4 linked regions of the Cricetulus griseus genome follow. The protein of the gene in region 4 binds, or shares a complex with, the protein of the main gene of each other region. Links are inferred from orthologs where the notes say so. Each region holds a gene or a part of one and is shown on either strand. Other genes may lie near its edges. The genes, in order: Cpeb1, microtubule-associated protein tau, Smad2 and Pin1.

Region 1 (5,946 bases), on a different chromosome or scaffold from region 4:
AGGAGACCCTGCAGATATGGTACCCAGAGGAGGGAGAGAGTGAAAGAAAGGGGGGAGAGGGGAGGGGGAGGGAGGGAAGGAGGGAGGGAGGGATAGAGGGAAGGAGGGAAGGAGGGAGAGGGAGAGGGAGTAGGAGGGAGAGAGGTACAAAATTTTAAGTCTTACTAATTCTTGGAAATCTAAGAGGCATCACTAGAAGAGTTTTAGTTAAGACAGAAAAAGTGAAATTAAACATCACTCTACTTTTATCAGTCTTAAAACAATTATATAAAATTTGAGTGTTGGCAAGATGGCTCAGCAGGTGAAAAACACTTGAGTCTGGAGCCCTAGGACCCTGTGCTGAAAGGACAGAATTGACTCCTGCAAACCATTTTCTGATCGCCCCACACATGCACACTCTGGCATGCACACAACTTCCAACACACAATTACTAAAAAATACAATAAAAATTAAAACCAATTATATCATTTCAAATCTGCCTTGTCTGAGGAAAAAATTACTGAAATTTTATCTATGTTGAAAATGAAAGTCTTTTGTATAGAAGGTTGGGAAGAGCCTTTCTTCAGACCTCTGGCTCTCGGGATCATCAACTAACTGCTCTGACACATCATGGAATGGTAGACACAGCACATTCCTTCCAGGCACTAATGCTCACAAGACCTATACTGACTTCCACAGCAATAGGAGAATGCTACCACTACAGTTAGAGTTCATGATGTAAAAATGGGACCAGCCCACAGACCCAGTCATCCATCACCAATAACCTTTTGATCCTTGACAGGCACACAAGTAACTGGTTGGGATAAAGCAACAAAAAGATCCAGGATCTCATTCCATCACTTAATAAGCTTTGGGAGTTGATATTTGAGCCTCAACTGTAAGACAGGGAACTCTATATAGAGATATCTACAGACAGACTCCAAACCAGTTTTCAGGTTGAACCCAACCTTATTGTTATTTGGTTATTGCTACACTTAAAAGCCAGGGATTCATCAAAATGGGGGGAGGGTGTCAAAGGTCCACCAACTCCGGGTGTGCAGTTGTTTTTCAGTAATCAGTTAATGACTGTTTCTTTTAGAGAGGCATATACATATACACTATAGGTCAGTGGGTGCTACTCTTCCCTCATCTTCAACTCATTTTACCGTTGTATAATCCGGGTTTATAATCCTCCTTAAGGATGTTTTACAATGAGTCGATGGTGCGTGATGAAAACACTTATTGAGGCAGTTATTATCAATAGCTCTTTGTTAACAGGTTTGGTGTTGTTCTTACCATCGTACAACTTCTTCCTTCACACTCTGAGAGGACCTCAGGACCATTCCTAACGACAAATGTCCCCATGATCATTAACTGCCTGTGTCAGCTCTCTAACTCTTATCTGTTCCCTTCCACACTGGGGAGCCTCTTGCCAGGAAGCTGTCTGTAGAACAATCATTGGGAGGGGATGCAAGTGTTTTTATACTCAAGGCTGACTTACCTATATCTGTCAGCTTTCTATCAACAGAGCATTCAGTGTCAAATAACTTGAATTGAGATAACTGTGCAAACTCTGGGGTGGAGTGTGGTAAACCATACAGAAAATGCTCTGTGAATCCCAGGCAAGTTATTAAAAGGAAGGGTAAATGATCAGTGGTGAATTCTGAACACTACTATCCTTAGGCCTCCTGACAGACTGGAGCCCCCAGTATGCATCAGAAGTCAGCCGTCCATCTCTTCTACATAACAGGAAAACAATCACCAGCTTGTATTTCTGAGGTTTTGTTTTGCCCGTTTTTCTTTCTTTCTTTCTTTTCTTTTTAAACACACAGTTCATATTCCTACACTCACACAGAACAGAAGCAAGAAGTGAAAACTCTCATCAGCACAGTCTGTGTTGGTACATGTGGGCCCAGTCACCTCAGAGATGGCCTGGAGAAAGCCGGTACATGCATGCCTTCCCAGAGCACTAAACCCGACCCACTTGCCTTGGCCCCAGCAAATGACGCAGACCAGCAGTTTATCCAGGTGCCAGAAGAGAGTGGGGAGGCAGCACGGTAGCCAGGGAGACCAAAAGAAGCAGTTGCCAGAGAAATGCGTTCATCAGAGTCGGCCTGGAGGCCGCTGTGGGGGATGGGGAGGCCTGAGGCAGGCAGCCCTGGGCTAATCCGGGTCTCGGGTGCTTCCGACTTTTTCCACACGCTTAATTCTATCTGAGGGCAGAGTACAGTGGGGTACAGCCTGCAAGACGCAAAGGGCTACTCCAGACCATGGCGCTCACACACGAAGCTGCACAGTTCCCTGGAGCCCAGGTGTGCCATGCTTCCTCGTGTTGAGGGCCACTTGCAGGAACTGTGGCCTTATAGGGTCCCCTGGAAAGGGAAGCTCAATATCGTGGTGACTGGAACCGCAGAGCAACCCACGCGGGTGGCAAAGGCCCGAGCAACACACGGAGCGAGCGGCCCACCACCAAAGACACTTTCCTGGCCTGGGTCCCCTTGCCTCAGGGATCCGAGGCAGGCGTGGGCCTTTCCCGGGGTGGCGTCTAGGCCCCAGTGAAGCTGCCTGTCAGCCCTACCCCCGCCCAGCTCCCCCAAACCTGAGGCCATTGCTGGAGGCCACGCGAACCCATCTACACTCCGACACCCCCAAGTTTGGGCACCTGGCCTTGCCGCCTGAGAAAAGCTGAGAGACACCCGCGAGGCCACATGAGCGCGTCTGGCCAGGCCGCAGAGTGAGGAAAGTGGACGCCGCCGAGGAGGAGGAGGACGACGACGAGCAGGCTCCACGCCAGCGCCCCCTCGCGGGCTGCTTGGCTCCTCCTCCCGGCCCGCGCCCCCAGACCCGCCAGGTTCCCGGGGCTAGCCCTCGAAGCCGGGTCACACGCACGCGCGACCTCACCTGGCCCGCTCCACCCTCAGGGCTCGGGCTCCAGAAGCAATCGAACGTGTGAAGCCACGTGACTTCCCCGGGCTCGGAAAGCGCGCGGCCCGCACGAGGGGCCCGAGTCCTCGGCTTTAAAGGAGCCATATCGGCGGCGCCGTCGTGGCGCGCGTCCCCGAGCGCGGACCCAGCCTGAGGGGCTTCCGCTGCCCTCCGCGCCGCCCGCCGCGAGACGCCAGCTCCTGCCTCCCACGGGACGCCGAGGCGGCTCTGGAGAGACGTGAGCCGCCGGCGCCGCGGGCCGCCTCGGCTCTCACGTGCGACGGCTGCGGGAGGAGGAAGTGTCGTGGACGCCCGGCTTCCCTTCCGCGCGGCCAGCTCCCGTCTGGACATACGTTCGAGGCCACCGGGAGTCTGCAAGCGCAGCTCCGAGGCCCCAGCGGCCGCCCCCGGAGGGCCGCGGCGCCTTTAAGCCCAAAGGCCTGAGTCACGAGGAAGCTCCCTGCCCCCCCTCGCCCCACACCGCTCCACGAGGCCCACGACCGTGGGCATGTGACCGGCGCCCCGCCCGGGACGCTCGCCGGGGCGGCGGTGGGGGCCTGTGGGGCGGCGAGACAGCGAGCGGACCGTTAGCTGAGGCAGCCGGGACAGCGGCCCCGCCCCGCCCCGCCCTGGCGGCTCTTACCAGAGAGAACGCCATGGGGTCCGGCGTCGCCCTGAGGGACCAGCGGGCGGGCGGCGGGCGGGCCGGCCGGCCGGCGGGTCTGTGCGGCGCGGGACGCACACACACGTGGGCACTATTTTTGCAGCGAGCGGCGCGCGACTCCGCGCCCCGGCGGCTTATAAAGCTCCGCACAGGCGCTGGCCTGATGAGGAGCACCTGTGTCGGCCCCGCCCGGCCTCGCCCCGCCCCCGCCCCCGCCCCCTGCGCTCCTTCCAGCCGTCCATACCCGCGCTCCACCGCCCACCCTGGGCCTGGGGACCCAGGCGGGGGCGAATTCCGAGGCTCAAGCCGCTGCAGGCCACCTCTACCTCTAGGAGCCAGGAGATCCAGGCCTGAGCACGCCCCTCACCCAGAGATCCAGGCCAAGTCACTCTCCCGCAGGCCTCAGTTTCCCTCACTGATCTACAAGCCTCTGCGATGCAGCTGCGGTGGTGATGTGCGGCCTCCTTAAAACCGTATAACCACGCCCCTCCTTTTCTAGTGACCTCTCGGATGGAAGCCCCATTGCACGAACCCAGCACCCCCACCCCCCACCTGCAGCAGACACGCCCTCACTTCAGACCGACTGCAACTGCATCTCCGGCGAGCTGGACCAGGGAGCGCAGGCGTCAGGGGATTCCGGAAAGTTCCAAAGACAGCAGCGATCCTCTTTGGATTGCAGTTCCCTGTGGGAAACCGCTTCCGACGCTCCCGCCAGATATGATAGAGCGCTTTACTGAGAAAATTCGGGGCAGGAGATCAGGGTGAGCCCGGCTGTTGTTTAGAAAGGCGTCATGGGCCAGCTGGGGCTGGAGCGGACCGGAAGCCCAAGCGAGCGCAGAGGCGGAGATGGCATTCCGGGCTGGAGACCAGGGAAGGCGGAGAGGGAGGACTGCACTGAGCGGCCCAATCTGACTAGGATTCAGCTAATGCATGCTGATACCACAGGAGGGAAGCCTGAGCCCAGTTTATGAAGGGCTTTTATTCTGCAGCTAGCTGGAAACTAGTAACGAATGGAGAACAGAGCTTGGAAGTTGTTTGTCTCTTTTAAGGTGTTGCTGGAGACTTAGAGGTTGGCACTGGAGTGGATAAGAAAGGGACCAGAGTTTATTGAACATTTCTAAGTGGTTTATATGTTACACTATTTATTAAGCACGTATTATACTGAAGGTTTCTCCTGACAGGTAGGAAAGAAGACGCTGCCAACTACTGGAAGGTTTGTGAGGCAGGTACTGTAGGTTTCTGCCCAGGGTGATAAGAAAGGATGCTTATGGCTCTAGTCTAGTGTGCTGTTCTGAGGAGAAGAGGGACAGATGCATTGAGTTGAGGGAACTCAATGACAACGAGGACTAGCTAGTCTTCATCTTCGTGCCTTCCTAAGAGCTGCTGTCCTAAGTAGAAAGGGTGATGTCTGTAGGGGAACCCATACCCCTAGGAGCAGCCCACCCCCAAGTCCCATCTTGGGCAGCAAGCAGCATAGGCCTGATACTCCAAACCTTATGTTTCTTGCTTGTCTTCTCTCCCTCTTCTGAGAGAGTGCTACACTCAGATGCCTACAACATAGGAACTTTAAGTGAGGGTGTGTGAGGTGCTTGGAAAGCCCAAGGCACACCTGGAAGGGCTGGTCAGCCAGCCATGTTGGCTTAGGCCTGTCATCTCAATACTATCAAGGATGAGGCAGGAAGATTGCCTTGCATTGGAAGGCAGCTAAGAACTACTGTTTGAAGAAAGTCTGCCTCAAAAATAAGTGGAAGGGATGGTTAGCTGATAAGCATCAAGTATGTCCGAAATGTGAATTTTAAATCCAGGGTCACCATGTACCTTCGTGGCTGCCAATTTGTGATCCTTCACATCCCGTCCTCCTTGGCCCCAAAGTTAAGCAAGATAAGAATCTGAGACTTGAAATGGCACCTAAAGGCCTATGGGAATGAGTATCTGAAAACAATAATAAACTTCCAGGCTCCCAGCATATAAGAAAGTAACTTTGAACGTGAATTTCTGCTGAATTTCTTGCCGAAGCAGTAAGAACACAGTCTTTCTGGGCACTCAACCATGTGCTTAGCACTCTTCTAAGGCCTTCACTTGTGTTAACTCATTTGGTAGGTGAAGAGACATGTTCAAAGAAGTAACTTGTGCTTGGCTTTAGCTGTTTGGGAGACTGAGGCAGGAGGATTGCAAATTTAAAGGCAGCCCAGACAACTTAGCCTGTGTGCCCCCACCTGACCCTGCCACCTACACCCCAGACTCGAGAGTAGAGCTGGGAATATTATCAACAAGATCCCTTGTATAGTACTCCCCAGACTCCAGGGTCAATCCCGTACCACAAAAGAAGGCAATTAAGTAACTCGCTCAAGGACCCCTTGCCAACAGGAGAAAAAAGC
Region 2 (5,324 bases), on a different chromosome or scaffold from region 4:
TCTCTTACCCCTGCCCCACCCTGGTACCGACTCTCAAGCGACTACCTGGGCTAGAGGGAAGGAGGGAGGCTCTGGTTCCTGTAGCATTCCTGTCCCTTCTTGGAGGTCTCTGTCTCCCATGGGCTGCAGAGGGCAGATGCGCCTGCATGGGAGCCAACCCCTTGGCTTTCCCATCATCACCTGCCCCGGAACTCCCACTGTACCCTGGGTCTATCTGCAGAAAGTCCTCGGGACCATCTACTCTTCACCCACCTTACAGGGGCAGGGTGACACCCCAGGACTGACATGTGAGGCCACAGCCCTCCTTTTCCATCAGGTCCATTAGCAAAAAAAGAAACACACACACACATACCCCACAACACAATACAACATACCATCAGCACAGCTATCTATGAAAATGAGAGGGATTTGTCCACTTAGACCTATGTAAAACATCCACCTTGCTTTACTGACTCTCACACACGAGGCCAACCCTCTCCCAGGACAGAAGATGACACTTTCCCTCACTGGAATGACCCCACTCGTGGTCTATATAGGAGACCCATGGGATTTGGAATTAGTTAGTGACCAGCTATCTAACCTATAAGACTAGTTCTGAGAGACTGGCTCCCAGGAGCCCCTTCTACTGGGGTGGCCTCCTCCAGGGTGTCCTCTCAGGAAGCAACTGCCATTCCCCAGAGCAGGCGTCGTTGCTGGGTCACATGAAGGACCTCTTGGGCAGGCAGGTCTCCCTGTGTGTCATGTCTACTCACTCATGCTTGCTGAGACACTAAACCTGTGGTTTCCACTGTGTGCCTGCATCCTTGTTGGTGTTGCTTTGCTTTTTCAGTAGAGGATGAAGTGTGCAGGAGACTGTGTGCCCAGACACCATGTGACTTTTACCCTGAGTCATAGCACTGTCCTGGGTCCTGTTTGCCAACTGGTGGTCAAGGACTGAGGGAGCTCCCTGGATGAAGCACTCCCATCTTGTCGACTCTTCTCTGAGTCCTTTCCAAGGAGATCATCTGGAGGCTGCATAGGCCGTCACTTCTTCCTCCACTGTGTGTGATGGGTCTTTCCTCAGTTAAGGATTTATGTTTATATGCTTAATATCTAAATAGAGATCATGATCACACACAGGGACTAGGCACCCTGCTTTTCCATGAGAGTCTCTTGGGTTTCTGGGATTGAATATGCTCAGGTCCCATAGTTACTTTGTGAGGACCTAGTTTCCTGGGGGACAGGGATTGGCTGGATTTGGGGAGCATATTTTCCTCCCTGGGTGGGGTATATCCAGTAGTTAATGGGAGCCACTGACAAGTGGTCCTTTGGGCTTTGCATTGTGTTACACCCCCTAGTAACATAACCCCCTTCGTTTTCTGTCTCATTCCCACCCCCTCTGACCTGCAGGTGCAAATAGTCTACAAGCCAGTGGACCTGAGCAAGGTGACCTCCAAGTGTGGCTCATTAGGCAACATCCATCACAAACCAGGTAGCCCTTGAGGAAGGAAGGCTTTGGGACAGGAAGGTGCTGGCTAGTCTGGCAGGTGCTTCCTGGAACAGGCTAACCTGAGCATTGAACATTAAATGTGAAGGTGCTGTGTGGCCTGGGAAATGTGACTGTCTCTGCTGGCTCCTGAGCAGGGTGTTTTCAGCCTAGACAAGGGGTGGAGAAAAAGGAGAAGCTGGTCCTAGATTCTATCTTGTGGCTCTCCAGCAAAGTCTGTAAAAGAGGACCAGCCATGGACTGATTGGGCCCCCAAAGGCAAGCTATATGGATGTCTCAGGCTTGTCCCAGCCAGCATGGGGGGACTTCATCAATGGCTATAATGTAAGATCTTTCTGGGCTGCTGTCCTACTCTCATGGTGACTGTTTAAACAAAGCACCCTTCCCAGGAAAGCAGTACAATTCACCTCCCCTCCTGCCACACCCTGGTGTGGTAACCCAAGTCAAAGGGAGAGGAGTAGGGTCTCTCCTCATTGTACATTTTTTTAAATTTATTTATTATGTATACAACATTCTGCTTCCATGTATATCTGCACACCAGAAGAGGGCACCAGATCTCATTATAGATGGTTGTGAGCCACCATGTGGTTGCTAGAATTGAACTAAGGACCTCTGGAAGAGCAGTTGGAGCTCTTAAACTCTGAGCCATCTCTCCAGCCCCTCATTGTACATTTAACATGCAGTACGATTCCAAGGTCTTGAGGGGCTGTGGCTTACAGGATGTTCATATGAAAATCTCCACCGCTGGAAGGCATCCAGTTTAGAACTCAGCATGTCTTCCGCTGGCCAAGCTTCCTGTATCTTTGAACCATTTCAGGAGGAAGATTTTGCAGAGTAAATACCTGATGAGCATCTCGATTAGAGATGGGGCAGGTGATTTGGCACCATTACAAGAGCTCCCTTGTGCCTAATTCTCCTTTTAGATATAGTAGAGCTCTGACAACTCCAAGAAGGTGGGCTGTTCTTGTGATCACTGGCCAGCCTCTGTTGGAGTCAGAATGGGCACATTAGTGAATGTTCCCCTCCAGAAGGGTGATACCTGACCTCTTTTTTTTATCAAGCCTTCAGAAGCCCCAGGCACTTTGCTCTGCAGTCTGTGACCTCATTTAATATATGCTAAGTCCCCCAGATCACAGATGACAAGAGGCTCTTGTGTGGGTTGTGTTCCAGGAGGTGGCCAAGTGGAAGTAAAATCTGAGAAGCTGGATTTCAAGGACAGAGTCCAGTCGAAGATTGGTTCCTTGGATAATATCACCCATGTCCCTGGAGGAGGGAATAAGAAGGTAAAGAGGGACAAATGGGGGGCACATGGGGATATGGGGGTTAATGGAGTGGACAAGGCTGGTCCTAGGGGGTCCCATATGGACTACCTAGAGGTAGATTCTCCCCCTCAGCTCAATGTACCAAGAACAAGGCACCAGACCAAAGGCAGATCTTTTCCACTAATTACTAGAAAGCTAGAGCAAAACAGTGACTCTGGCTGAGGCTGTGGCTCAGCTGGTAGAGTGCTTGCCCAACATGCACAGAGCCCAGGGTTCCATCGCCAGCACTGCATAGACTGGGCATTAAACTGCCATCCCAGATGGAGGTAGGAGGATCAGGAGTTCAAGACCACCCTCAGCTACATATTAAGTTTCAGGTTAGCTTGTGCTACATGAGATTCGCACCAAACAGACAGACGAAACCCAGGGTTCCTGCTGGGCAATGGTGGTGCACACCTTTAATCCCAGCAATTGAGAGGCAGAGGCAGGTGGATCTCTGTGAGTTCGAGACCAGCCTGGTCTACAAGAGCTAGTTCTAGGACAGCCTCCAAAGCCACAGAAAAACCCTGTCTCAAAAAACAAAACAAAACAAAAACAAAACAAAAAACAAAACCCAAAACAACACCACCACCACCAAAAAAACAGGGGTTCTGAAGAGAAGTGTTCACACTGGGGCTGCTGGGCCTCGAATTCCCAGCTGTGTCTGGTCTCCAGGCTGAGGAGAATATGTGCAGGGTATGGGAACACAGAGGTGCGTGGCTCTAAGCAAGCTCCTCTTGCACCTAACACAGGGTGTGACTGTAGGGTTTTTCCTCCAGCATAAACAACCTCCACACCTGCCTGGCCCCATATTGTGGAGGCAGCCTCCTCTGCAGGGTCCTCCCAGCAAATGACTGAACAGAGGGAATGGCCTGGAATCAGACCCAGCCTAGCACGAGAAAGGGTACTTACCCAAGGTGGCTCAGCTGTTTTTCTACTTGGCCTTGTTGGATGGCCCTTGGGATTCCCCTGCCTGGCGAGTCCCCACGGCACCCTGCTTTCTTCTGCAGCCATGTGTCTGCATCTGCTGCTTATATAAAGCCCCTGGTAGTACTATGAAGCATCCGTTGGACTGCTGAAGTGCCCAACACATGGCTGCCATTTCTGTCACACACCACTCAATTGAAATGCAAAGCCTCATACATACTGCTCCCATATGGGGTCTATTGGCCCCCGGGTGCCACAGGGAGTCAGTCACAGGCCTGGTTCCACCTCAGTCTGATTCAGTGGGGCTGCAGCAGACCTGAGCTGGAGATTCCCTGGGTAAGGGAAGTTCTCAACCAGCCTGGGAACTTCTATGCCCTGGATGAAACTCTGGAGCACTAGAAACAGATAGAGGTTATTCCGGGCTACAGAGAATTAGTGCCAGCCTGGGCTACACTTGAGAACGTCTCTTGGAACCAGAAGCAGTTGGGCATAGTGGTGCACGCTTTTAATCCCAGCATTTGCTGAACATTTGGGAGGCGGAGGCAGGTGGATCTCTGAGTTTTCGGGTAGCATGGTCTACAAAGCAAGTTCCAGGACAGTGCGACCACACACACACACACACACACACACACACACATATGCACGCACACACACATGCACACACAAAGGTTTTTAATCAAAGCTTCTCTCAAGTACAGTAGTATAAAAGATCCCTCTTTACCAAAAAGAACAGCATATGCATGCAGCCTAAAGGAAAGGCTGATTTTTCTCTATGCCACCATTCAAGCTCCCAGCAAGGGTCTTTGACCTCAGAAGGTGTGTGGAAATGCAGTGTGTGTGTCACATACTTATGTGCACACATGGCTCAAAGCCTGGGATCTAGAACAAGGTGGAGGCATTTTGTATCCACCCTTTTGATGTAGAGACTGCTATACATGCCTCAGACTGCTTTCTGCTTCCCTTTGGGCTCCTGGCTATAACCCTGTATGTCTGCACCCCCCCCCCACCTATGTGTACATGCATATGCAGGTGAGCCCACCCGTGTACATACATGCGGAGACCAGAGCAGGTTGTCTTCCTCTATCACTGTCCACCTTATTGCCTTGAGACAGGGTCTCTTACTGAACCAGAAGCTTACTGTTTTTGCTAGGCTGGCTACGAGTGAGCTTCCGGGATGTACCTGTGTTCATCCCCAAATGCTCAGGTTACAGGTTACAGGCATGTGCAGACACACTCTGCTTCTTTTACTTAGGTGTAGAGGATTCGACCTCAGGCCTTTGTGTTTGCACAGAAAGCACTCCTACCCACTAAGACATCTCCTCCCCAGGCCTGTGATATCATTTCTTAAGAAGGGCTTCTTGCCGGGCATTGGTGGCACATGCCTTTAATCCCAGCACTCGGGAGGCAGAGGCAGAGGCAGAGGATCTCTGTGAGTTCGAGACCAGCCTGATCTCCAGAGTGAGTTGCCAGGATAGGCTCCAAAGCTACACAGAGAAACCCTGTCTTGAAAAACCAAAAAAAAAAAAAAAAAAAAAAAAAAGAAGGGCTTCCTGGCATCACAACTTCTAGCACCTGGAAATACCTTAATAACCTGTGACAAATGATGTGTG
Region 3 (5,870 bases), on a different chromosome or scaffold from region 4:
CATGACTCTGAGGCTTTTTCCAGGAATAGCTATAATTTTTCTTATGTCTTTTAAATGCACTTTGAGTTGATTTAGGCTTAATTGATTTTATAATGGCATGAATAATGAAGGGTTAAACTTGCTGTCCATATATATATATATATATATATATATATATATCAGACTTATTCAATATAACTTATACAATAGGGACCTACTTATAGATCTTCAGGTACCCTAGTGGATTTCCAAGCTGATCGTTGCCATGGTAATCCTTGTTCCATGTGCCTTCAGTTTCTCTTGACCCACTTTGGTTTAGATGCATTTCTAACCAAGGGGATAGCAGGCATGCTCCCATTTCAATTCCCTTGGAGACTACATTAGTAGCCATGCTGCCCCTATCCCTTCCTTCGGTCCTCTAGATCTTCTTGAGCAGTGGTTCTCAACCTTCCCATTGCTATAACCCTTTTATACAGCTTTTCATTTTGTGGTGACCCCCGACCATAAAATGATTTCCTTGCTACGTCATACCTTTAATTTGGCTACTGTTATGAATTGTAATGGAAATATCTGATATGCAGGCTATGATATTGTTAAGAGCCACTCCTCTGTATCTTGGAAGGCTTTATAAATGGAGGAGTTATGATCTCAAAGAATGACACCTTGGAGAGATGGTTTAACTCCAATTCAAGAAGAATCTATGAAGCTCGGCTTTCCCCTTCCTCTTGACAACTACTTGTGTGCTGCCCAAATCCACATATGAATCATACAATTATATTTTATGATTCAAGACCATTTTTAACAGGCCATTCTGTATTAAGACTGTTGATGTCTATCAGTATAAAGAAGGGTTGCAAGTCAGAACCAGTTTCCCTACTTTTAACTTGAGTATCATTTGCCTTAACCACACACCCAGGTGGCCTTGGGAAGTTGAGACAAGGGATCTCCTGAAGTGGTGCCTCTCAAACTTAACTTTTATTTTGGTGGTGCTGGGGGGTAAACCAGGGCCTAGAGTGGGCGAGACAAGAGCTCTACCAATGAAGAACATCCTCTGCCCACAAACTATTAAAATAGGAGTTATGTGGCCTTCCTCTGAAATTGTTAACAGAAGAAACACCCAAATCCCTCTGTGCAGGTGAATTTCTGCTAAGTCCATGTTAGCATAAATATCTGTTCACAAAGGGAAGTTAATGATCCTTAATTTTCCTTTAGTTTCAAAGTCTTGTTCTCTTTATTTCCATTTATGATGTCATCAGCATATAACTATGTAAGTTGGTGTTATCATTTCGAGTACCACTTTGTCAAAAGCCTTGGATTTTTTTAGAGCCGAATTGAAAACTATGACTGGCTTATATGTGGGATTCTTCACAACTTTCCCATGAGAATAGTGGCAGAGATTTTGAAAGCCAATTTAAAAAACCTGTAAGTCTAGAGGCATGACCAAATAACTCAAGGTCCAAATGAAGGTCCCTTCTCTAGGATGTCCTCACATATGAGAACAGGGAATAGTTCACTCTTAACTGCTTCAAGTTCCAGGACTGCTTTGTATTGCTAGGAGGTTTGCTGGATTAGCTTGAATCTTCCAGGAAACCTATGAAGAGGTAGGTAGGTGGGTATATGCGAGCACGACAATCAGCCAAGGAAAGTGTCTTATGGTATTGTCTTTATCACTAGCAAACAGAAAAAGACATTTCAAATTTGGGTTTATTATGCTTCCTGTCTAACACAGGTGCTTAACACTGGAGGCGATTACTTGGGGTTCAATCTTTGTCTGCCAGGGTGAAGTTAAAATTACCGATGAACCTGGTTACGCCGCTGTGGGTAGTCTTAAGTTTGGGGACTTCCATAGGTAAAGGTGACAAGTTGGGGCCTAGGAACAGGGCATAGTGAAGGTAAAACCAGCTAGGGACAGCAAATCCAGGGGCACGCTGCCAGGTGCTCACACTTTACAGTGAGCATTCGAAACAGGCATCATTAATTAATACTTCGACTTCAGAAGGACTCAAGGTTCGGGTTGGAGAAAAACACCTAGCTGCTGCCTAGCCCTATCCCAAACCGCACCGACAAGAGAACTCTCTAACTCCGCGGTTTTTCGCACCCCCCACCCCCCAGGCCCCGCCACAAGGCCCCGCCCACCATTTGCATAGGGCGCACCCCTCTGCGGCCAGCACTCGGGTTTCTCCCGAGCTCTGCCGGCCCAGAGGCTCAGACCGGGTTGGGGGCGGGCCCGGGCCCGGGCCCGAGCACGTGTCCACTCCGGCCTCACGACGAAGGTGGGCGAGGGCTGGGCCGCGGCGCTCCACCCAGAGGCGCCGGGGTGGGGGGGTGAGAGGCGGGGGTCTGCGGGCGTGGCAGGCTGCGCGGCCTTCCGCGCTTCGCCATGAGCCCCGTGGGAGCGCGCCGGACACGAACTCAAGCGCAACCGCGGGCGTGCCACCCCGCCCGGCCGCGCCTCGCCTCACGCTCGACGGGGAAGGCGGGACCAATCAGCGAGCGACGTCTCCCTTCCGATTCCAGGCCCCCGACACGCTGCTCACACCCCGGGCTCCCCGCTCGCTGATTGGCTGGCGGTGCCGCCGGTCGGGCCGGAGCGGGAGGCAGCGGCCCGCCCTGCCCCGCCCCGCTTCCGGCCCCCGGCCCTGCCTGCGGCGCCCGGCCTCCTTCCGACCCTGCCGTGCTCCCTCCGTCTTCCGTGCGCGTCCCGCTCGGCCGGCGTGCCTCACGCCTAACGGGCGGCCGCGGGCGCCAATCAGCGGGCGGCAGGGTGCCAGCCCGGGGCTGCGCCGGCGAATCGGCGGGGCCCGCGGCTCAGGGAGGGAGGCGGGGCTACCGCGCGCGGCGGCGGCGGAGGATCAGCTCGCCAGCCTGCAGCTCGCCAGCGCCAAGCGAGCCGCCCGGAGGTAGGTGCGCGGCGGCCGGGGCGGAGGGCGGCGGCGCGGGGTGCAGGCAAGGCCGGGGCGCGGGACGCGCCGAGTGGAGCTGGCGGCGCCCTCCCACCCTCTCCACCCGTCCGCTCGGCCGCGGCGAGCGCGGGCCTGGGGCGGGCGGGGCCCGCGGCGCAGTTCCGCCTGCGCGCGCCCACTCCTCCGGCAGCGCAGAGCCCGTCGGAAGAGGAAGGAACAAAAGGTCCGAGGCTCGGCTCGGACGGGGCGGGACCTGGCACTCGGTGCAGGTAAAGCCGGGGCGCCGGGAGGACCGGTCAGGGGTGTGCGGGGCCGGGTCACGTGGCCGCCCGTGTGGGGTGTGGCGGGCCGTGGCGCGCGGGCCGGCGGGTCCGGGCCGTGCAGGGCCGCGAGCCCCCGCCCCGCCCCGCCTGGCTGCGGCCCGCTTCAGTCCCGGCGCGACCGCACTCGCCGTTTGCGTTTCAGAAGGGCCCGGGAGCCGAGTTAGGGGCGTGTGGTAGTTTGTTTCCACTTTTTCCTTTTTTTTTTTTTTAATTTATTTTTTCTTTTCTGTAGCCTTTGTTAACCGTAACTGTCGCGGGTTCCGAATCGCTCGCTCTGTGTACTCACAAACACGCTCGTGGCTGAGACTCCCGGGCTCATCCTCCACGCACTTGGGAAAGTTGCTCCGTGGGTGCAGCCTATTAGTTTCTAATCACACGCCTTTCGGAGGCATGCTAATTGATTGCACATATTTCAGACTTGGTTTTCACAATAGGTGCTTGGATTTATTTTGTTTTAGGTTTTGTATTCTTACCCTTGCATGTTATGGTTTCCTTGAGAACCTAAACAAAAGAAAAATAAAAATTGAGGGTGGTTTTGTTACTCCTTCCTTTTGCCCTTAAAGGCAAAAACTACCTGTTTGTTGTCAGACCAATTAAAGAAAAATACACCCGGGTGAAAATAATTCTGCCTTACTTTAGGCCTTGTTGGGATATTCTAAATGATGATGTTTTAAATTAATGATAGACGTGAATAAATGAATCACCAGCCAAATGTACCTGAAGATCTTTTAAAAATGGTACCCTGATATGTCAGTTTCCAAAGTCCCTTTTAGTTTTTTTCTGATTTCAGTTGTCCTGGTAACAACATACAAAGGATGTTTCCTTTGAGCCTAACACAAGAATACAGTTGCTGCCTTGCTGGAAATATCTTTACTATTAGTTTACTTTGATCCCTGTAAAAAGCAATTTCCCCCTTTACAGAGAAGTGTTAAGTAGTCAAAATGAAGTTGGAATAGTTTCAACTCATGAGTTAGTGAAGCAGATGGAATCCAGACATGGGAGAAGTATTATAGTTTAAGGTCTTTTTTTTTTTTTTTTTTCCCTTTCATTTAACTATGAAACAACTCCATAGAGAATTTTTTTTTCTCTTAGGTCATTTGGAAAATGTTTATGTTAAATTCATAAAGTAACACTGCTGTTATTTTTAAATTTTCTTTTTGTTTTTGCATAAACTTACCTGGGTGGTAAGAAAAATCGTTCAGATCTTTGGACATTTGTAAAGTGAGTGTCCACTTACATGCTTAATGTTAAAATCCAGTTTACTTAATTGAATTTAAGACTGCTCACTGACCGGACTTAATTACTGTACTGTGATTACAAACCTCACTTGTGTTCCTTAGCCAGATACTGCTCCTAAAGCTTGGTGTTTTCTATATTGTAGCTACACCTAAAGTGATTTCATGTTGTAAGTGTTCAGCAAAGTTTGGTCTTCAGGGTTCTAAGGTACTTGTCACTAAACAGCTATGCAATCTGTATGGTTCATAAAGTAATAGTCTTGGGAGAAACTGCAGAGTAATTTCCTGTTTGTGGCCTGTTAGGCTTGGTTATGTGTTTGAACTCTCAGTAAGACTGTTGGGGCTGGTTTTGTACACAGTCCTTCCCTTCAGGTGAACAGATGTGCTACTAAAGCTGGTAGCAAGCAATCCCCTTCTCTGTTTGATAGCTTTGATACTGTAGATAACGAAATGTAACTGTAACCTCAGGACTTTGCATTAGGGAGATTGTGAGTGAACAAACAAGCAAATTAACTCAGTTCAGCTGTATGAACTGGTGGCTAAGGACCTTTTGGGTTTTTATATTTGTCAAAACTTTCAGATCTGACTTTTGGGCCTGTTCTCCTGGTTTAATGCTCTGGACTCCAGAAGGCTGTTTGTAGCAGCCTTTTTTATACAGGTGCTTTTGTAGTGCAGGCAGGAGCTGTATATAGTGCAGTCTGGCAGATGGAGGTTTATTCATATTCTTTGGACAAGAATCCTTTTTAGGGGGTGGAGAGAGGCATATCTTTTTAGATGCTTTGTCTGAGTAGAAGCAGAAGAGACATTTTTAAGACCTTGGTTTCTGCACTTACAGGTGCAAAGATGTTTTCCACTAAGTATTGCAAAGGTGTGTCAGAAAAGTGACTATAAAGAATTAAGTATCATCACTCTACTGGACAAGTAAGACTTGCTCACTACACAAACTTTTTCAGTGGCTAGTTACACCAATATTCCCTAGTGGAATTGGGAAAGTAACAACTCCTCATGTCTCGTGGCCAAGACCCCACAGTGAGAAAATTATGTATAAGTTGTATCTGAGCAGTCAATAAATTCTTTCATAGTAAGTTCTTTAAGTATACTTGCACGTGTAAAGGGTGGCACTAGGGGAGATGGGATGTCTCTTATGTCACTAAGAACAATCTCTTTGTTGGGGTGGGGGTAGTGTCTGCCACTTTTTGCAGTTCATTCAAACTGAAGATAGGGCTGATATTTCAGAAACGTGCTTGTTGAGCAGAGATGTACAGTTGCTAACTTTACTTCTGTCTCAGTTTCATTAACCATTGCTCTTAGTTAAAGAAAGTGGTTAAGGAAAGAAAAGGAACTTGAGTCATTTGGGTTCCAGTGAAAGGAATATTGTATGCAAATAGTTGAGCCAAGAATACTGATTGGGCAGCATTGTCATGCAGTTG
Region 4 (5,808 bases):
AATGTGAGCCCAAACAAACCTTTCTCCCTTAAGCTGCTTCATTTTTTAAAACCTTTTTAAAAGTTTGCAGTTATTGGTTGGGAAGGCAGGGGTGGGGGAGCACAGCAGCACATATGTCATGGTGGGCTCGGGAGGCAAGAGAGAACAACTCCCAGGAACAGGGTCTCTCCTCCTACCACATGTATCCTGGGAATGGAATTCAGGTCCTCGGGTTTAGCAGAAATTGACTTTGCTGGCTGAACCCTCCTGATGCCCTTGTCAGGGTGTTTTGTCACAAAACAGGAAAAGATAGCCACACCCCTCCAGAGGACCCCCAACAATGCCCCATCTCTCCCACTCACCATTGATCAGCTCCAGGGCCTCTTCCTTGCTCCTGGTGATCTTTTCCTGCCGCCAGGAAGAGGGCCTCCGAGACTGGCTGTGCTTCACCAGTAGGTGCGAGCAGCGCACCCTGGCAGGCTCCCCCTGGCCATTCTTGCTACTGCCTCCAACACTGCTGCCACCACTGGGCCGCTCCCACTGGCTGGCGTTGGTGATGTGATTGAAGTAGTATACACGGCCTGGGGGAGAACAGCACCTATTTAGCTGAGGCTGGGTTGAGGAGGACTCTATCCAGAAAGCCAGGATGAGGACTGGCTTAGGAGGATGCTGTCCCCACCAGGACCTGTCTCAGACAGGACTGTGCTAATATTCTAGGTAGATACAGACACTAAACTAGCAAAACAGAAAAAACAGCTTCCAGGTCTGCAGGATGTCTCAGCAAGGAAAGGAATGTGTCAGAGTCTGAGAACCTGAGTTTGAACTCCAGGAATTGCCTAGTGGAAGGAGAACCCACCCACCCCAAGATGTCCTCAGGCTACCCTACAAAATAAACATGATCAAAAGTTCAAGAACATTCTCAGCTATAGTTTGAGAGCAATGTTGACTACATGGGATCCAATTTAAAAAATATACAAACAGCCAGGTGTTGGTGGCTCATGCCTTTAATCCCAGCACTCGAGAGGCAGAGGCAGAAGGATCTCTGTTGAGTTTGAGGCCAGCCTGGTCTACAGAGCGAGTTCCAGAACAGGCTCCAAAGCTACACAGAGAAACCCTGTCTCGGAAAAACTAAACCAAACCAAACAAAAATACCATGGGGCTGGGATCTAGCTTACTGATAGAACAGTGCTTGCCTGGCATTTGTGAGGTTCTAGTTCAGGTTCCAGTATCAGACATTCACCAAAAAGGTAAGTATGGCGGTTTCTATCCATCGCTCCACTGCAAACAAACCAGGCTTCACCTCCCACCTCTGCTCACAGCAGCAGCTATATCTTGTGCACAGACAGAGGCAGATACCTCAAAGGAGGGGGGGTTCAAGACAGGGTTTCTCTGTGTAGCTCTGGCTGCCCCGGAACTCGCTCTGTAGACCAGGCTGGCCTCAAACTCAGAGATCCACCTGCCTTTGCCTCCGGAGTGCTGGGATTAAGGTCGCACGCCACCACTGCCAGGCCCAAAACTTTATTCTTAATCCTTACCCTGGTGGCCTAAATTGAAGAGCAAGAAAGCAGCATTACTGGGGGGGTTGATGTCATCTAAGGGACATCTAGGTGACAGTGAGGAGCATAAAGAAGGTAACTCAAAAGCTTAAGGGAAAAGCCTGGCTTGATGGGGCACAGTCTAGAACTAGGGAGGCTGAGGCAAGAGGATAGGTGTCTGCTGTTTGAAGCCAGTCTGGGTAAGTTTGCAAGACTGTCTCAAAAAAACGTGAAGGAGACCTGGTTGTGGTGGTATACACATGTAGGATTTGCTGAAGGAGGTGGAGGCAGGAGGATCACAAATTCGAGGCTAGCCAAGCAGTGTTGACACACACCTTTAATCCAAGCACTTGGGCTGCAGAGGCAAGGGGACCTTTGAGTTCAAGACTGGCCTGGTCTATAGAGTAAGTTCAGGACAGCCAGGGCTAAACAGAGAAACCCTGTCTCAAAAAACAAACAAACAAACAAAAAACAGGAAAAGGGGGCAGGGGAGGAGGGGAGGGAGAGGGACCAGGGATTGACATATAAAACAATCTTGTTTCTAATTTAAATTTTAAAAAATTAAAAAAAAAAAAACAGGAAAAAAATAGTGAAGGAGGAAAGAGGAGGGGCAGTGAGGGACATGGCAGGAGCTTGAAAGAAGGACCCAGTAGATTCTGGGTCACTCCAAGGGCTTAGAGTCTTTCTGGGTTACATAGGTGACTCAGCATCAAGAAGGGCCGGATGGCTGGGTGGTGGCAGCTCAGGTCTTTCCCAGCACTCGGGAGGCAGAGGCAGGTGGATCTCTGTGAGTTCAAAACCAGCCTGGTCTACAAGAGTCAGTTCCAGGACAGCCTCCAAAGCCACAGAGAAACCCTGTCTCAAAAAACAAAAACAAAACAAAAGTCTATGTAGCTCAGGATAACTATGAACTGGAGAACCTCCTGCTTCTGCCTCTTAGGTACTGGAAATTTATCTACGTGCTACCACACCCACCTAGAAGTATGTTTATGCTTAGGCCAGGAATGGAGCAGCCTGGATAGGAGCAAGGACTCTAGGGCTAAATACAATAGGCCATCTCCCTGAACCTCAGCTTTCTCATCTGAAAAACTGGGGCAAGAGAATAAGGACATCAGAACTAGGCATGGTGGCACATGAGTGTAGTCTCAGTGCTTGAGAGGCTGAAGCAGAAGAACCATGAGTTAGAAGCCAGCTTTGGTTACACAGCAAGACTTTTATCTTAGTGTGTGATAGTAATCCCAGCACTCAGAAAGGTGAGGGTGGGGACCAGAGGTTCAAGAAAGCAAGTTCAAGACTAGTCTTCTCCCCCCCCCTCTCAAATTTAAAAAGAAAAAAGAAAGAAAATAGCTGTGGGTAAATGTGTTTGCAGCCACGTCTGAGGATGTGAGTTTGATCTCAGGTACTCTCATGGTGAAAGAAAGAAAAAAAAACCTCCTGCAAAAGTTATTGTCTGATCTCCACAAGCATACACACAAAATATACTACTACTAATATTACTAATAAAGATTCTGTCTCAATAAATACATTGGGCAAAGTGGTGCATGCTTATAATCCCAACATTTGAAGGGCTAAAGCAGGAGGATCTAGCAACCTGTCCACGTGAGATCCAGTCTAACACCCTTTCACCTCCCCCTCCCAAACAAAAGGGTGAAAGACACATTAAACCTAGCCGCGTTAATTCAGAGAGAGCTAATGTATACAGTGTCCAGCACCCTGGTGCTCAATAAGAATAAGTGAGCTCTGTAGGCAGCAGGACCCTGGTTCTACCGGAGATGCCTATCCGCTCCTCAGGGCGTTGCCACTGACACTGGCAAGGGGACTCTGGCGGTAGGAACTCACTGCATTCCCAGTCCCTGAACTGCATCATTTGGCGAGTTCTTTGCGTGTCCTGGCTTCAGTTCCCTCACTAGAAAAATGAGAGCAAACCATCCCTTGAAAGACGGGCACGACAGAGAAACGGGAGAGAGAGAGGGGAGACCGGGAAAGGGAGAGGATGAGCCAAGGAAAGAGGGAGGGAGAGAGGAGGGGGGGGCAGGACGGAGATGAAGGGATCTAGGGAGGGTGGGGGACGTACAGACTTGTGAACGAACTTGAGCTCCTTTAAGCCAGCGCTGTCGCAGGATCCCGTGCTGGAGATGAGCCGGCACGTGTCACAGATGCTGCCCCAGAACCCAAATCAGGGCGGCCCACGCCCTCTAGAGGCACCGGGTCGGGTCTCCTCCTCCCAAAGGAGCCCCGCGGTGCAGCCTAGTGTCCTGAGGACGTCCGGCCCGGTGGTGAGCGACGGGCCGGCGTGCCCGTGCCCGCCCCACCTCTTGCCTCGGTCTCTGGCTCTCCGGGCCCGTTACGCCGCGGAGCCCAGACCTTCACGCCTAAGGCAGGGCGCCTGTCCTCGTGAGCTCGGGCCCGCCTTCTGCAATCTCGCGAGGGCCCGGCCCGGCCCGGCCCGGTCCCTGGCCGACCCCCAAGACGTACCTGAGCTACGACTCATGCGCTTCTCCCAGCCCGGCGGCAGCTTCTCCTCGTCCGCCATCTTCCCTCCTGCCGCAGCGCCCGCCCCGCCTCCGCTCCGCCCCGCTCCGCCTCCGCAGCTGTGACCCCGCGCCGGCCCAGCGCCACTGTCGATTGGCTCGCCCGGCTCAGACGCCCGTTGGACGGCCCCACGGCGCCGCTAGAGCGCTAGCATTTTATTGGGCTCACTCGCGGCTTCCTGGACCGCCCCTGCACACTCTCCGCCCCCCCGTCCCGACACCGCCGCTGATTGGCCCACCTGGAAGCGTCGCCCATTGAACGCTCAGGATTCCTTTAAGCGTCAAAAGGTCTCTGCAACCTTCTTGGTGGGCTTAGCCCGCAGAGTAGAGCTTATTGATTGGCTCCTGCGGCAACCAATCCCGCCTTATTGAGCCGTTCTTGGAGGTCGGCCAGCCTCCACGCGGAAGCGGCTCGCTGGTAGGGAGGTATTCGGTACTTTTGCTGTATTTTGCCGTTGCCATAGCAATTCAGTTGCCTTGGTGATAAGAAGCCAAGTGCCCAAAGCCTAAATTTGGCTTTTTGGTTCTCTTCCCACCTGTTTCCTCCAAAGCGACGCCAGTCCTTTTTGGGTTTTGCAAGGCTAATCATTTCTTTCTTTCTTCTTTTTAAAGATTTATTTATTATGTATACAGTGTTCTGCCTACATGTAGACCTGCAGGTTAGAGAGGGCACCAGATCTCATTGCAGATGGTTGTGAGCCACCATGTGGTTGCTGGGAATTGAACTCAGGACCTCTGGAAGAGCAGGCAATGCTCTTATCCTCTGAGCCATCTCTACAGCCCCAAGGCTAATCATTTTACCCACTTTCCAAGTTTTCTTTAGAACCTACTTCAACTTATTCCTTCTCTGCCTGACTCCTTCCTAGGTTCCTGGGCTGGGCGATGGCATTATCACTAGGATGAAGAAAAGGAATAGGCTTAAGTCAATTGATAGTCTGTGGAGGAAACTGATGTGGTGGTGCATTCCCAGCACTCAGGAGGCAGAGGCCAGCCTGGTCTATGAAATGAGTTCCAGGACAGCCAGGGCTATACACAGAAACCCTGTCTCAAATGAAACAAAAGCAACAACCCTCCCCCCCCCAAGAAAAAGGAGAGAAGGAAAAAGGTCTGCGGAGGGCTACAGAGATGGCTCAGTGATTAAGAGCACAGACTGAGCCGGGCGTTGGTGGCGCACGCCTTTAATCCCAGCACTCAGGAGGCAGAGGCAGGCAGGCGGATCTCTGAGTTTGAGACCAGCCTGGTCTACAAGAGCTGTTCCAAGTCAGCCTCCAAAGCCACAGAGAAACCCTGTCTCGAAAACCAAAAAAGAGCCTGGACTGCTCTTGCAGAGGACCTTTTCAGTTCACCAGGTCTGCACATGGTGCACATTCATGTATACATGCAGGCAAAGCATAACACTTTACAAATGTTGCTTTATGCCAGTAATAGCAGCACACACCTTTAATCCTAGCACTTGGGAGGCAGAGGCAATAGGATCTCTCAGTTTGAAGCCAGCCCAGTCTACAGAGGGAATTCCAGGACAGCCAGGGTTACACATAGAAACCCTGTCTCTAAAAACCAAAAAGTGACTTTAAAAAGCTATTACACTGGGCTGGAGAGATGGCTCAAAGGTTAAGAGCACTACCTGTTGTTCCTAAAGGTCCTGAGTTCAATCCCCAGCAACCACATGGAGACTCACAACCATCTGTTAATGAGATCTTCTGCCCTCTTCTGGCCTGCAGGAATACATGCAGACAGAACACTGTATACATAAAAAGCAAACA

The links.
Region 1: the proteins of Pin1 (region 4) and Cpeb1 are in contact, whole or in part, in an NMR structure (PDB 2N1O), measured with the Homo sapiens proteins. The link is inferred for Cricetulus griseus from reciprocal best matches to the Homo sapiens genes PIN1 and CPEB1. Residues at the interface, in NP_006212.1 of Homo sapiens: Arg17, Tyr23, Ser32, Gln33, Trp34, Glu35; in NP_001352172.1 of Homo sapiens: Arg206, Ile207, Ser208, Pro209, Pro210, Leu211, Pro212, Phe213.
Region 2: the proteins of Pin1 (region 4) and microtubule-associated protein tau are in contact, whole or in part, in an NMR structure (PDB 1I8H), measured with the Homo sapiens proteins. The link is inferred for Cricetulus griseus from reciprocal best matches to the Homo sapiens genes PIN1 and MAPT. Residues at the interface, in NP_006212.1 of Homo sapiens: Arg17, Val22, Ser32, Gln33, Trp34; in NP_058519.3 of Homo sapiens: Val546, Arg547, Thr548, Pro549, Pro550, Lys551, Ser552, Pro553.
Region 3: the proteins of Pin1 (region 4) and Smad2 are in contact, whole or in part, in an NMR structure (PDB 2LB3), measured with the Homo sapiens proteins. The link is inferred for Cricetulus griseus from reciprocal best matches to the Homo sapiens genes PIN1 and SMAD2. Residues at the interface, in NP_006212.1 of Homo sapiens: Glu12, Arg14, Met15, Ser16, Arg17, Ser18, Tyr23, Phe25, Trp34; in NP_001003652.1 of Homo sapiens: Pro218, Glu219, Thr220, Pro221, Pro222, Gly224.

The regions. Positions count from the first base shown.
Region 1 is NC_048596.1:116,134,378-116,140,323, reverse strand, and holds the start of Cpeb1 (cytoplasmic polyadenylation element-binding protein 1), read right to left. Parts: upstream 3,368-5,946; 5' UTR 3,256-3,367; coding exon 2,881-3,255; intron 1-2,880.
Region 2 is NC_048600.1:117,355,756-117,361,079, forward strand, and holds part of microtubule-associated protein tau, read left to right. Parts: intron 1-1,389; coding exon 1,390-1,471; intron 1,472-2,656; coding exon 2,657-2,769; intron 2,770-5,324. UniProt on the Homo sapiens protein: Promotes microtubule assembly and stability, and might be involved in the establishment and maintenance of neuronal polarity.
Region 3 is NC_048595.1:163,599,252-163,605,121, reverse strand, and holds the start of Smad2 (mothers against decapentaplegic homolog 2), read left to right. Parts: upstream 1-2,227; 5' UTR 2,228-2,252; intron 2,253-2,606; exon of another isoform or gene 2,607-2,879; intron 2,880-3,008; exon of another isoform or gene 3,009-3,151; intron 3,152-5,870. UniProt on the Homo sapiens protein: Receptor-regulated SMAD (R-SMAD) that is an intracellular signal transducer and transcriptional modulator activated by TGF-beta (transforming growth factor) and activin type 1 receptor kinases.
Region 4 is NC_048597.1:133,533,829-133,539,636, reverse strand, and holds the start of Pin1 (peptidyl-prolyl cis-trans isomerase NIMA-interacting 1), read right to left. Parts: upstream 4,127-5,808; 5' UTR 4,048-4,126; coding exon 3,990-4,047; intron 561-3,989; coding exon 342-560; intron 1-341. UniProt on the Homo sapiens protein: Peptidyl-prolyl cis/trans isomerase (PPIase) that binds to and isomerizes specific phosphorylated Ser/Thr-Pro (pSer/Thr-Pro) motifs.